3 linked regions of the Medicago truncatula genome follow. The protein of the gene in region 2 binds, or shares a complex with, the protein of the main gene of each other region. Links are inferred from orthologs where the notes say so. Each region holds a gene or a part of one and is shown on either strand. Other genes may lie near its edges.

Region 1 (3,077 bases), about 3.6 Mb from region 2:
ATTTTCCTTATTAATCCACCAAGGATTTTGTTTTTGTTTTTCCTTTTGTTGTTTTTTTAGCTTAATTTTCATACCGTTGAATTGAATTGGCTTCATCTGTGAGCTAAATTTCTCACTCTTGTTTTTTATGAAATGGGTTTATGAGAAGTTTTATTTTTTTGCCACCCTTTTGATGGATCTTCATAAATTCAATAACTTTATTTTATTTTTTTGCAATATGAAAAAATGGGGATTTATTAGTAGCAGATTAGATCTTTTGGGTATGATGGTTCTCCGTAATTGATATGTGAGATCTGATCACAATCTGCAAATAATCATGTTACGATTTTTGTATTATTAGTTGATAGAATTTGAAAATGAAGAACATAAAAGCAAGTATATCCAAACACATTGAATATGAAAGCTGGAAAATGAAGAACAGAGATGGTAGGGAAGATAACAGAATAGAGAGAACAGAAAAGCAATTTTTCAGCGGTAGTTAACTGCTGCCGGTTCCTGAACGGTAGTTAACTACCGCTGGGGGCATTTAAGTATTTTACTTATGTCATTGTGAAATTTTCAATGTCAGAAAAGCAATTTTCAAACAAATTTAGGAGAGTTGAGCTCTAAGGACTCACTAGAGTCAAGACAGATCTCAAGATTCAATTAACACTTATAAGTCATTCGTGAAAAAGGTCATTGAGATTTGAACCTACATCCACAAATCAACTTTTCATCGGTTGAGTAAATTTTCATTGTTTTTTTTGGTTACAAGTAAATTTTCATTGTTAAGTTAACAATTGTTTGGAAGATAAATTTGTCTATTATTTACCAAATAAAATAAGATGTCCAACGTTAAAATTTCTAGCACCAATTTTGGAAATTAAGTTATTTTAAACTTTAGAAGCTGATGTGAAATTCCTCTAAAGATCAAAACTTTTGGTACACTTGAATCCCTCTTTTTTATGGCGTGACATTATTTGTTCTTATTCACACTACTATAGTGACGTGCCCAACAAAAGAGTCATCTTCTTATCTCTAGTTGTATGTATGGCATTGTGTCTCTCTTAATGGCTTTCTGTGTGTCTCTCTGCTGCTACACCTCCTTCCCTTCTCTTTCCCATTTCTCAAAAACTTTGACAAGGAAACATGTCCGTTCTTCTTTCCCTTTGATTTGTGCAGTTCAATCCGGCGAACCAGGTGGCAGCTCACAGTCACAGCCTAAGAGTTCTGATGCTTCCTCATCCTCCTCTACTACTGCTCCTAAGACTCTTCCTAAGAAACCTGTTTATTCCAGTGAGTCAAGCAACCAAATAACTATTTATTTGGATTTTATATGTATGCTGAATGCTGCTGCTGTCTGTGTGATTATTTATTCATTTTTGTTAATTGTTGGACAGTGAAGAAAGGTCAGATTGTGAGGGTGGACAAGGAGAAATATCTCAATAGCATTAATGTAAGAAGACTATCATTGATTTAGTTTCAATTATAGTTATTTCAACTGTGAGGAGGAGGACTTAAATAACATGTACTAAGGTTAATTTTTCAGTATCTTTCTGTTGGGCACCCACCCTATTACAAAGGATTAGACTACATTTATGAAGACCGTGGTGAGGTAAACAAACAAACACCAAAAGATTATGAAAACAAAATAGTTTATATGATTAGTGTTTATCTAACTAGAAATGTCAAACTGTATTTGTAGGTCTTGGATATGCGTATATTTGAAACAGGAGAGCATGCACTTGTAAGTAACTTGTCAATAGTGTGTGTGTTTTAGGTGTGAACCAAAGGCAGCTGACAGCGTGCCAATTATTTTTCATACCAACAGCATGATATTTGAAGTTTAAGTTTTAGTATTCTAACACAAAAACTGTACCATTGCTCAATTCTCAGGTTGCATGGGTAGGAGTCCCCACTGCTCCAGCTTGGCTTCCTACATACATGCTTATCAAGGTAATGCTTAACTTGTTCCAATGAAATCTGATGTAAATTGTTTAACTTTATCTACATATACGCGACCTATTTTCATTTTAGTTGCTTTGAAAGCACCCAAGTCCTAACTCTTACTTTTTTGTTGCAGTCAGAGAAGCTCAATTATGAGAGGCTATAACACTCCTTTTCTTCTAGTATTGTAAGATGCGAGATTCAAGAAGATTGATTCAAAATACCATCAGAGACGCCCACCATACCCCATTTTAGTTGAGCTGCGTGATCAATTCGAATGACTACTGTCAATTATTTGGAAAATTTAGTTGTGCTACCCAGATGATGTTTTCGGCCATGACTATCATTGTATTTATGCTTCTATATTTTAGTTTTTAATAAATGACATAGTTAAAGATATGATGCACATCAAGGGCAATCATCAGAAAAATAACGAGATGTGAAAATCAACTGCAAATACACTTCATTTGCACCTGTAGGTCAAATAAAGCACTAAAACAAAATGTTTTTTTATATATTGTTTATTCAACAATGCAACTTATTTTCCATGTTAGGGAGTAGAATGAATCTCTTCACTAAAATTGCATAATTGTAGAACTTGAGGTATCAAATATTTAACCAAGATTGAAGGCAGAAAAAAATGCCACAAAAGCTTATAACTTTTGCTCTCCAGTCATTGGCCTCAAACTTGCATTTATATGTGATACTTTTGGATGGAAAAAAAAAAAAGAAAAAAGATTTCAATTGCCATCATAGAACATCATATATATGAACTCTCTCTCAATCTAGATCCTCTGTGATTAAGCATCTTTTATTAAAAGAAAAAATATCAACTATAATTGGAACAAATTACCAACATTTTACTGTGCTGTGCAAATCGGCGACATCACAGCTAAGGCACTGTCGATGCATCAGGATGCTTCCATACACATCCAACAACCTGTTTTATTGTTCCATAAGCTGAATTGTCAAATGTGCCTAGTTAATGATGTTGAAGAATAGTGAATTTTCTTTTTACTAATGTGATTGATCAAACGACTTTGAATTGGAAGAAATCGAAAAGTGAGCTTCACTAATTCTAGAACACTTTCCAAAGCAGATATCAAGTTATCAACCATGCCATGATCTAATAAATTTTAAAATCTAAGAAG
Region 2 (3,471 bases):
CTTAAAGTTTGAGAACCAATACATTCTCCTTTGTGATGATCTATCATGCCTTCCCTCATGACCCAATAACAATAACAAAGACGATAGTTACTAAAGGATCAAACTCCTTGTATCGAAAGTCTTTCTGACAATAATCGTTCGATGGTCTATTTCATTGATGTTGTGGCAATGGCAATGCAAATGGAATGAAAAAGCTTCCACTTGATAGGAAGATTGTTGTGTAACAAGCGAGTCAGAAACTCCATATTAAATGGATAACTGAATATTGAAAAATATATAAGTTAGAGGACTAATATACATAATACCTTAAGATTTTAAATTAAGATTGGTGTCCAACTTGCTCTTGATCCAATGTGATGTTCCACTAGGGCTCTCCTCTTGACATTTAATAGATGCGCTTTTTGAGATGGATATCAAGTTTGTGGTCGATGACTTTAAGCATTCTCAACAACATATCACCGAGTTTGATTCTTTGATTAATAGTGGAGACCTCTTTACATTGTTTAAACTATTAGGTCAAGTCCACTAAGAGACAAGTTAGCATGAATGCTTATTAGCTAGCTAAGAGGACTATTTTTAATCTTTGTTCATAACTTTTATTATTGATGTTCTTACTTATTTTGAGCATTTGCATTGGTTTTACTCAACCCCAAAAAAAATCTGATATTGGACAAGAGATTTTTATTCTATCTTTGATGATTTACAAATTAAAGAACTAGTAATTGTAATAACATATCTGACTGATTCATCATACACAAAAAACATCAATGATTTGCTCACTTTTCTTGGTGTGTTTCACAAATTATTTCTCAAGTACTTGCATCTTCAGGTTGGATATCATTGTTGTTGAACATGATCCGTGGCTTCCCCATGCTGAAATTCAGAACCCTTGCATTCATATTATACTTGATTACTCCATCATATAACAACTTTCTTATATAATGCTCTATGTCTGAACCAATCAAGCGAAGTGTGTATTCATTCAATGGAGCACCCTGTTTTCAATTATCAAAAAGGTTAATATAATTCTAACACTTAATTGGCTCAAAACTAGCACATACTAACTAAAATCTAATTATATTTTTCCTTCTCCTAGGTTTTTGGATTAACAACTAGCACTGTTACAAAATTTAATAAACCAGATACAGAAAAAATAAAATAGTTCTCCTGTTAATATTTCTAAAACTTAGCAACGGAATTATAAACAAATTTTGTATTTTGTCTTTAATTATGGCCGCCAAGTGTAGAACTTTTTTTTTTATCTTAACCATCCAGAGTTTGCCTGAAAGGTAAATAAAGTGGTCTGACTAAGAATTGTTCTCGTCAGGATTTGAACTCGAATACTTCCGAACAATTCACTTTTAACTAGAGTTCATCAACCACTTGAGCTCTCAATCTTAAATTTAAGCATAGACTATTATCTATCCATGTATTGATAATTTATTTTTGCATCAGTTTTCATGTTTTTTCTACATATTTTGCTAAGCAGAAGCCTACATGCTAGTCTTGAATTATAGTATATGTGAATTCAGTATATATGAAACTATTCTAAGACAAAAACTATTGTATATATTTGACTATGTTTAAGGAAACTACCTCATAGTGATCCACAAGCTCCTGAAAGTAAGAATAAACCAAGTTGCAAGTATCAGGATTCCACACAAACTCATCAGTAGGATCAAGAATAAGAGTAAGTTTATCCATCTGAGTTTGATCAAAAGCACTAGTTTCTGGATCAATATAAGCTGCATAGATCCTCACATGTCGCGTGGCACAACTCAACCACTGTCCTCCGTATTCCCTGGTCATGCCTTGATCTTTTACAATCACCTGAGGTTCAACTGGCCTTGGTTTTGTTCCTTTTGGATTAATTTGTTGATTTTGTGGTATTTCTTTCTCTTCTCCTACTTTCACACCATCTGTTTCCTTAACATCAGATTGTTGTTGAGCTGATATGAAAAATGGAGTTCTGTTTCTTACTTCTTTTCTTCTTCCTCCTGTCCAACCTAGTATGGATAATTTGGTAGAAACCATGTAGGAACAACTTGTGGCCATGTTTGATTTAGTGGTGTTTTTTGCCTTTAATGGCCAACAAGTACTTACAAGTGGGACTTATTAGTGTGCATATTGCTTAGCTTCACTCCTTCTGCTATGGATAAGATTTGTTACATAATAACTGGAAGGAAATGTTTGTGGTCACAGAAGAAATACAGGAAATAAAGAGCAATTTCCAATTTTACCCATGCATATGGTTTATTATGAGTTTTAAAATATACACTGTATATATATCCTTAAATAATCCCACCATTGCATTATTACAATTTTTTTATTTTCTTTCTTTTTTACTTTATTTTGGAAACTACACATTATTTTCTTACAGTTTTGGATTTTTTACCAATTGGCCATTTCTCAACCATTTTGGTGCCCAGCATTGTATAAGTGTACCTGATACGGACATATCTCCAGAGAGAAACTAAATATGCATGAAGAGGTTGCAAGACAAATGATATTTAAGTGCATGTTTGAATGATAGTGAATTTGATGAAATTATGGTAGTACTGTCATTTTATTGAAGCCTCAAAGTATTCTTTTTGTTAAAATCACGGTGACACACACCCTAACTCCGTTAAATTCACAGTAAATCAAAACATGCATTAAGTCAAATTACATTACATATGGAAGAATCCAAGCGACAAAATTGTTGTCGTATTATTAGGATTAAGAGCAATGATCCTAATACTCTAAAATACAACTTCTCATCCTATACAAAACTCAATGGAGCAAAACTAGACAGCATTTGAAGTATAATGAAAAAAGGGGTACTAGCCCAACAAATTGAGGAGGCATAGTTTCCTAATTATTAAGGTAAGGAGGAGGGCACATACAAACAACCTCTCATCCTAAACCCCCCATTTAAGAAAAACCATGAATATGCCAAAGCTATATTAAGATGCAAAGGAAAACAGTATCTACAAGATATTAAAATAAAAAGTATAGAAGAATAAAAAAAATTGTAGCAAGCAATATATGCTGTAATTTGCTCAGTCAAAACTTGATGCTCGGCTCCACCTGCCTCTCAAGTAGTCCTCTAATGAAACACTTTGCTCAACACTGTACATGGAGAGTGAGTCATCATCCACATCAAGCAGTGCAAGATTAAGATGTGACTGTATATTACTTGGTGGACATACTTCATCATCGAGCATTTCATGCGCTTCCAAAGCATTGACTTCTAGTCTTGCCCACTTGATTGCATCAATATCGCCTTGAAGTAGCTTTGAAACCTGTGGTCCAATAGAATACATGAGAATTGCAACGGACAAAGGACTAATGAAGGGAATAAGAATACTTTTGATGGTGCTCGAAGGACTCAATTCCCTGCAGTCAGGGAATCGTAAATTCACACAAGCATGTAAATCACGGCCATTGAAAATAATCAAACAGTTGACAGTTAAAACAAAATTATATGGA
Region 3 (3,315 bases), on a different chromosome or scaffold from region 2:
GATTCAATTAATGTATAAAAAAGTTTTACATTAAAATATCAACAAAAGTACATACACGACGTGATTTGATTCAATCCATATATAAACAAAATTTACAATGCATACAAATTAAATCTTATATTTAGTCACTCCGATGAATTTATTTGTTATGGATATTTGAAAGAAAGAAAGAAAAAAAAAAAAAAATATATATATATATAGGGAATGGAAGTTTTTTAAGATAGAATAGCCTTTATGGGATTCTCTATTCAAGGTTTTTATTAGTGGAACTCCATTTCAATTGTCATTAGTGATTAAATTCTTAGAGGAACAAATTCATTACAAGATTATGAAAGAATTACTGTTATGAACTTATGAAGAAACACTCAAAATGAAGTTATTATACAGTATATGATATTATAAATAAACTTAATAATATCTGTTCAATATTTTGATTAATTCACATTGCGACAACTTCAATTTATAAAACAACATCCGTAAAAACCCGAAATTGCAAAATCCTTAACGCAACCGCAACCTCGAACACGACCATTATTTAAAACCTTGCTCTCAGTGATGGTAACCAACACATTGGAATGATGGCTGTCATTGTGCATGCTTTTGCAAGCCGAATTTCGCTTAAGAAAAACCAAAGGATTTTGTTTATTTATTTTTTTGTCATGAAATGGGAGTTTCATTTGTCACTTGTGATAGATGGTAATTTCTTTATAGGCCTCATTAATCGCTCAACCTATCAAAACGTATCTTTCGATAGGGTTTATTTTGTTTATAGAACCAGAAACTATTTTCCCAGATGCGTTTTCACTGAATTTTAAGCAATTCAGGAGGCCTATAAAACAATTTTCGTGCTAATAAGAACCCACCCAAAAGAGATACTCTAAGCCCACTATATAAATTAAGTCCACATACATCCTTGACCCCAAAAAAAAAAAAAAAAAAAAAAACACATCAAAACTAAAATTACAAAACCACCCTTAATAATGATATCCTTTCTAGTGCCACTTAGTGGACACCATAGCACTAGCACTTCCCAAATGGATATGTCACAAATTTTTTATTTCCAAAAACTTTAATGAATTATCTATCTTAATTTCTCAAACACTTGTACTCATTTGAGTTATGGCTCCTCTAACAAATTTGCATGGAGTCTCCAAAACTTTAACTCCAATTACATGCCTTGTTCCAAATGCACAAAGAACCTTTAAGACAGGACAAGTAGTAGTTGGATTTCTTGGAAGCAAAACAAAGAAAATATCAGAATGTGAATCAGTTAACACTACAAGAAGAGCAGCTGCAATAAGCCTTGTTTCTTTAGTTCTTACAGGACAATTCAGTGAGAAGATTTCACTGGCTAAGGATAATGGATTTTGGATTGATGGACCTATTCCAGAACCAACTGTCACTAATAGTAAGATTAATTTCTTATTGTTCTTGCTTGTATACATGCATTTCATTGCTCTTATGTTTGTTTTGATGTTATGTTTCAATTGACATTGGACAATTATGATTGGTTTTTTGTTCTTTCTTTTACTATTTTCTTTTATAGTTATGATTGAAAGTTAGCATGGTGAACTTAAAAATATTAATTGTACTATCATGGTGAAGTTAAAAAATAACTATTGACCTATTAGTGAAGTACAATGCCAATAGATATATTAAATCGATGGTTATAGTTAACTTCATCACGATGGTTTAATCTTTTAAGTTCACTGTACTAAATGTCGCCTTACTGATAAGTGCACAAGTCGCTTGAGTTGACTAGACCATACTAAGTGGCTTAGGAGTAATCATGTAAATTGGACCGTAGCATTTAAAGTAAATTTGTAAAAGTAATCCTAAGCTTGAATAATATATAGAATATCAATGTAGTCAGAGAACGTAGACACAACTGGCCGAGCCCTGAGATAAAATGTTGTGTTTTCTTTGTTTGCGTTTTTCGTATCTGTTTACTTTTGAATCAAGGTTCTTGTTCTAACGATGTGAATGATGATTATATGGTTAGATATTGCAAATGAGAAAACTGGGACGCGTTCTTTTATTAAAAAGAAACTCTACATGGCAAATATTGGAGCAAAAGGAAGTGTTTTAAGGATCAAGAAATATGCATTTGATCTTCTTGCAATGGCGGATTTGATTGCACAAGACACACTCAACTATGTTAGGAGGTACCTAAGACTCAAGTCAACATTCATGTACTTTGATTTTGACAAGGTTATCTCTGCTGTCCCAGTTGAAGATAAGCAACAATTAACTGATGTGGCAAACAAATTGTTTGATAATTTTGAAAAGGTATGCTCCTTTTTATATTGCGGTTACATAGAGTCGCATTTTAGTGCTTGATATTGCAGGAAAAAGTGGTCGATGCCACTGTAATCCAAAATATTGCAGACAAATGTGGCTGATGCGACCACAATTGCGGCCATGTTTGTGTTGTGGCCGCAATTGTGGTCCAACGACATTTGTGCTGTAATTGCAGTTGTTGACCGCAATTTACTATTATGTGAATAGATGTTGGGTTAATGAATTGAATTTTTTATGCAATGACAGCTTGAAGAAGCTTCAAGGAACAAAAATCTACTTGAAACACAAGCATGCTATAAAGAAACTGAAGTTATGCTTAAAGATGTCATGGACAGGATGACTATAATGTATAAAACAATTTGACATGATTTTAATTAAGCTGTATTTTTTACTCTTGTCAAAACAATTTTGTGTTTTTGATTGTGTTGATTCAAGATAAGGACGTTTTTACCTTGTAGATAGATAAATGCTATAATTTCAGCAAAATTTTCAAATGTATAATAGTGTTCTTTCTTCTTTTTTTAAAAATTCTTTTGGTTTCAATCACAATGTTGCCAATTCTATCTATAATAAAAATTCTGTTAGTTTAAATAATCATTAATCAACTTCAATTAAAAACAAATTGTGAGGAGAATCCTATTTCCGGTCATAACCGAAGCAATTATTAGTGTGACTTTACTTATCTTTCGATCTGAATTATTGATTACTGCAGTCCATTTCCCTCAAAATCATAGGTTTAATCGAAACAATAAAAACATATTATGCTCTTTTTTTTATTAAAAATAAAATAAAATACTATGCTCACATTGCCACATGTACAAATTTTGGAGTTTGGAGGAGTTAGGAAGTCTAATAAATTTTACTTGGATTATACAACAAGTTTTTTAATATGGTTCAGGAATTGACTCTCTACCACAAGGTACGACTTAATTAATTGACAAGTTAAATATTGTATTAATATTTAACTTGCTTTGCAAGAACTCAAGCTTAGATTGAGACTTATCACCATCAAAC

What was found.
Region 1: NAD(P)H-quinone oxidoreductase subunit M, chloroplastic (region 2) and NAD(P)H-quinone oxidoreductase subunit O, chloroplastic share a complex: the UniProt entries of both Arabidopsis thaliana proteins name them as parts of the chloroplast NDH complex. The link is inferred for Medicago truncatula from reciprocal best matches to the Arabidopsis thaliana genes NdhM and NdhO.
Region 3: NAD(P)H-quinone oxidoreductase subunit M, chloroplastic (region 2) and photosynthetic NDH subunit of lumenal location 3, chloroplastic share a complex: the UniProt entries of both Arabidopsis thaliana proteins name them as parts of the chloroplast NDH complex. The link is inferred for Medicago truncatula from reciprocal best matches to the Arabidopsis thaliana genes NdhM and PnsL3.

Annotation. Positions count from the first base shown.
Region 1 is NC_053044.1:47,465,986-47,469,062, reverse strand, and holds NAD(P)H-quinone oxidoreductase subunit O, chloroplastic, read left to right. Parts: upstream 1-949; 5' UTR 950-1,025; coding exon 1,026-1,275; intron 1,276-1,379; coding exon 1,380-1,435; intron 1,436-1,528; coding exon 1,529-1,594; intron 1,595-1,684; coding exon 1,685-1,726; intron 1,727-1,875; coding exon 1,876-1,935; intron 1,936-2,062; coding exon 2,063-2,092; 3' UTR 2,093-2,441; downstream 2,442-3,077. UniProt on the Arabidopsis thaliana protein: NDH shuttles electrons from NAD(P)H:plastoquinone, via FMN and iron-sulfur (Fe-S) centers, to quinones in the photosynthetic chain and possibly in a chloroplast respiratory chain.
Region 2 is NC_053044.1:43,827,562-43,831,032, reverse strand, and holds NAD(P)H-quinone oxidoreductase subunit M, chloroplastic, read right to left. Parts: upstream 2,166-3,471; 5' UTR 2,056-2,165; coding exon 1,597-2,055; intron 996-1,596; coding exon 810-995; 3' UTR 662-809; downstream 1-661. Other genes in the region: probable receptor-like serine/threonine-protein kinase At5g57670, read right to left, coding at 3,042-3,284. UniProt on the Arabidopsis thaliana protein: NDH shuttles electrons from NAD(P)H:plastoquinone, via FMN and iron-sulfur (Fe-S) centers, to quinones in the photosynthetic chain and possibly in a chloroplast respiratory chain.
Region 3 is NC_053043.1:40,755,413-40,758,727, reverse strand, and holds photosynthetic NDH subunit of lumenal location 3, chloroplastic, read left to right. Parts: upstream 1-1,020; 5' UTR 1,021-1,119; coding exon 1,120-1,408; intron 1,409-2,002; coding exon 2,003-2,289; intron 2,290-2,547; coding exon 2,548-2,664; 3' UTR 2,665-2,768; downstream 2,769-3,315. UniProt on the Arabidopsis thaliana protein: NDH shuttles electrons from NAD(P)H:plastoquinone, via FMN and iron-sulfur (Fe-S) centers, to quinones in the photosynthetic chain and possibly in a chloroplast respiratory chain.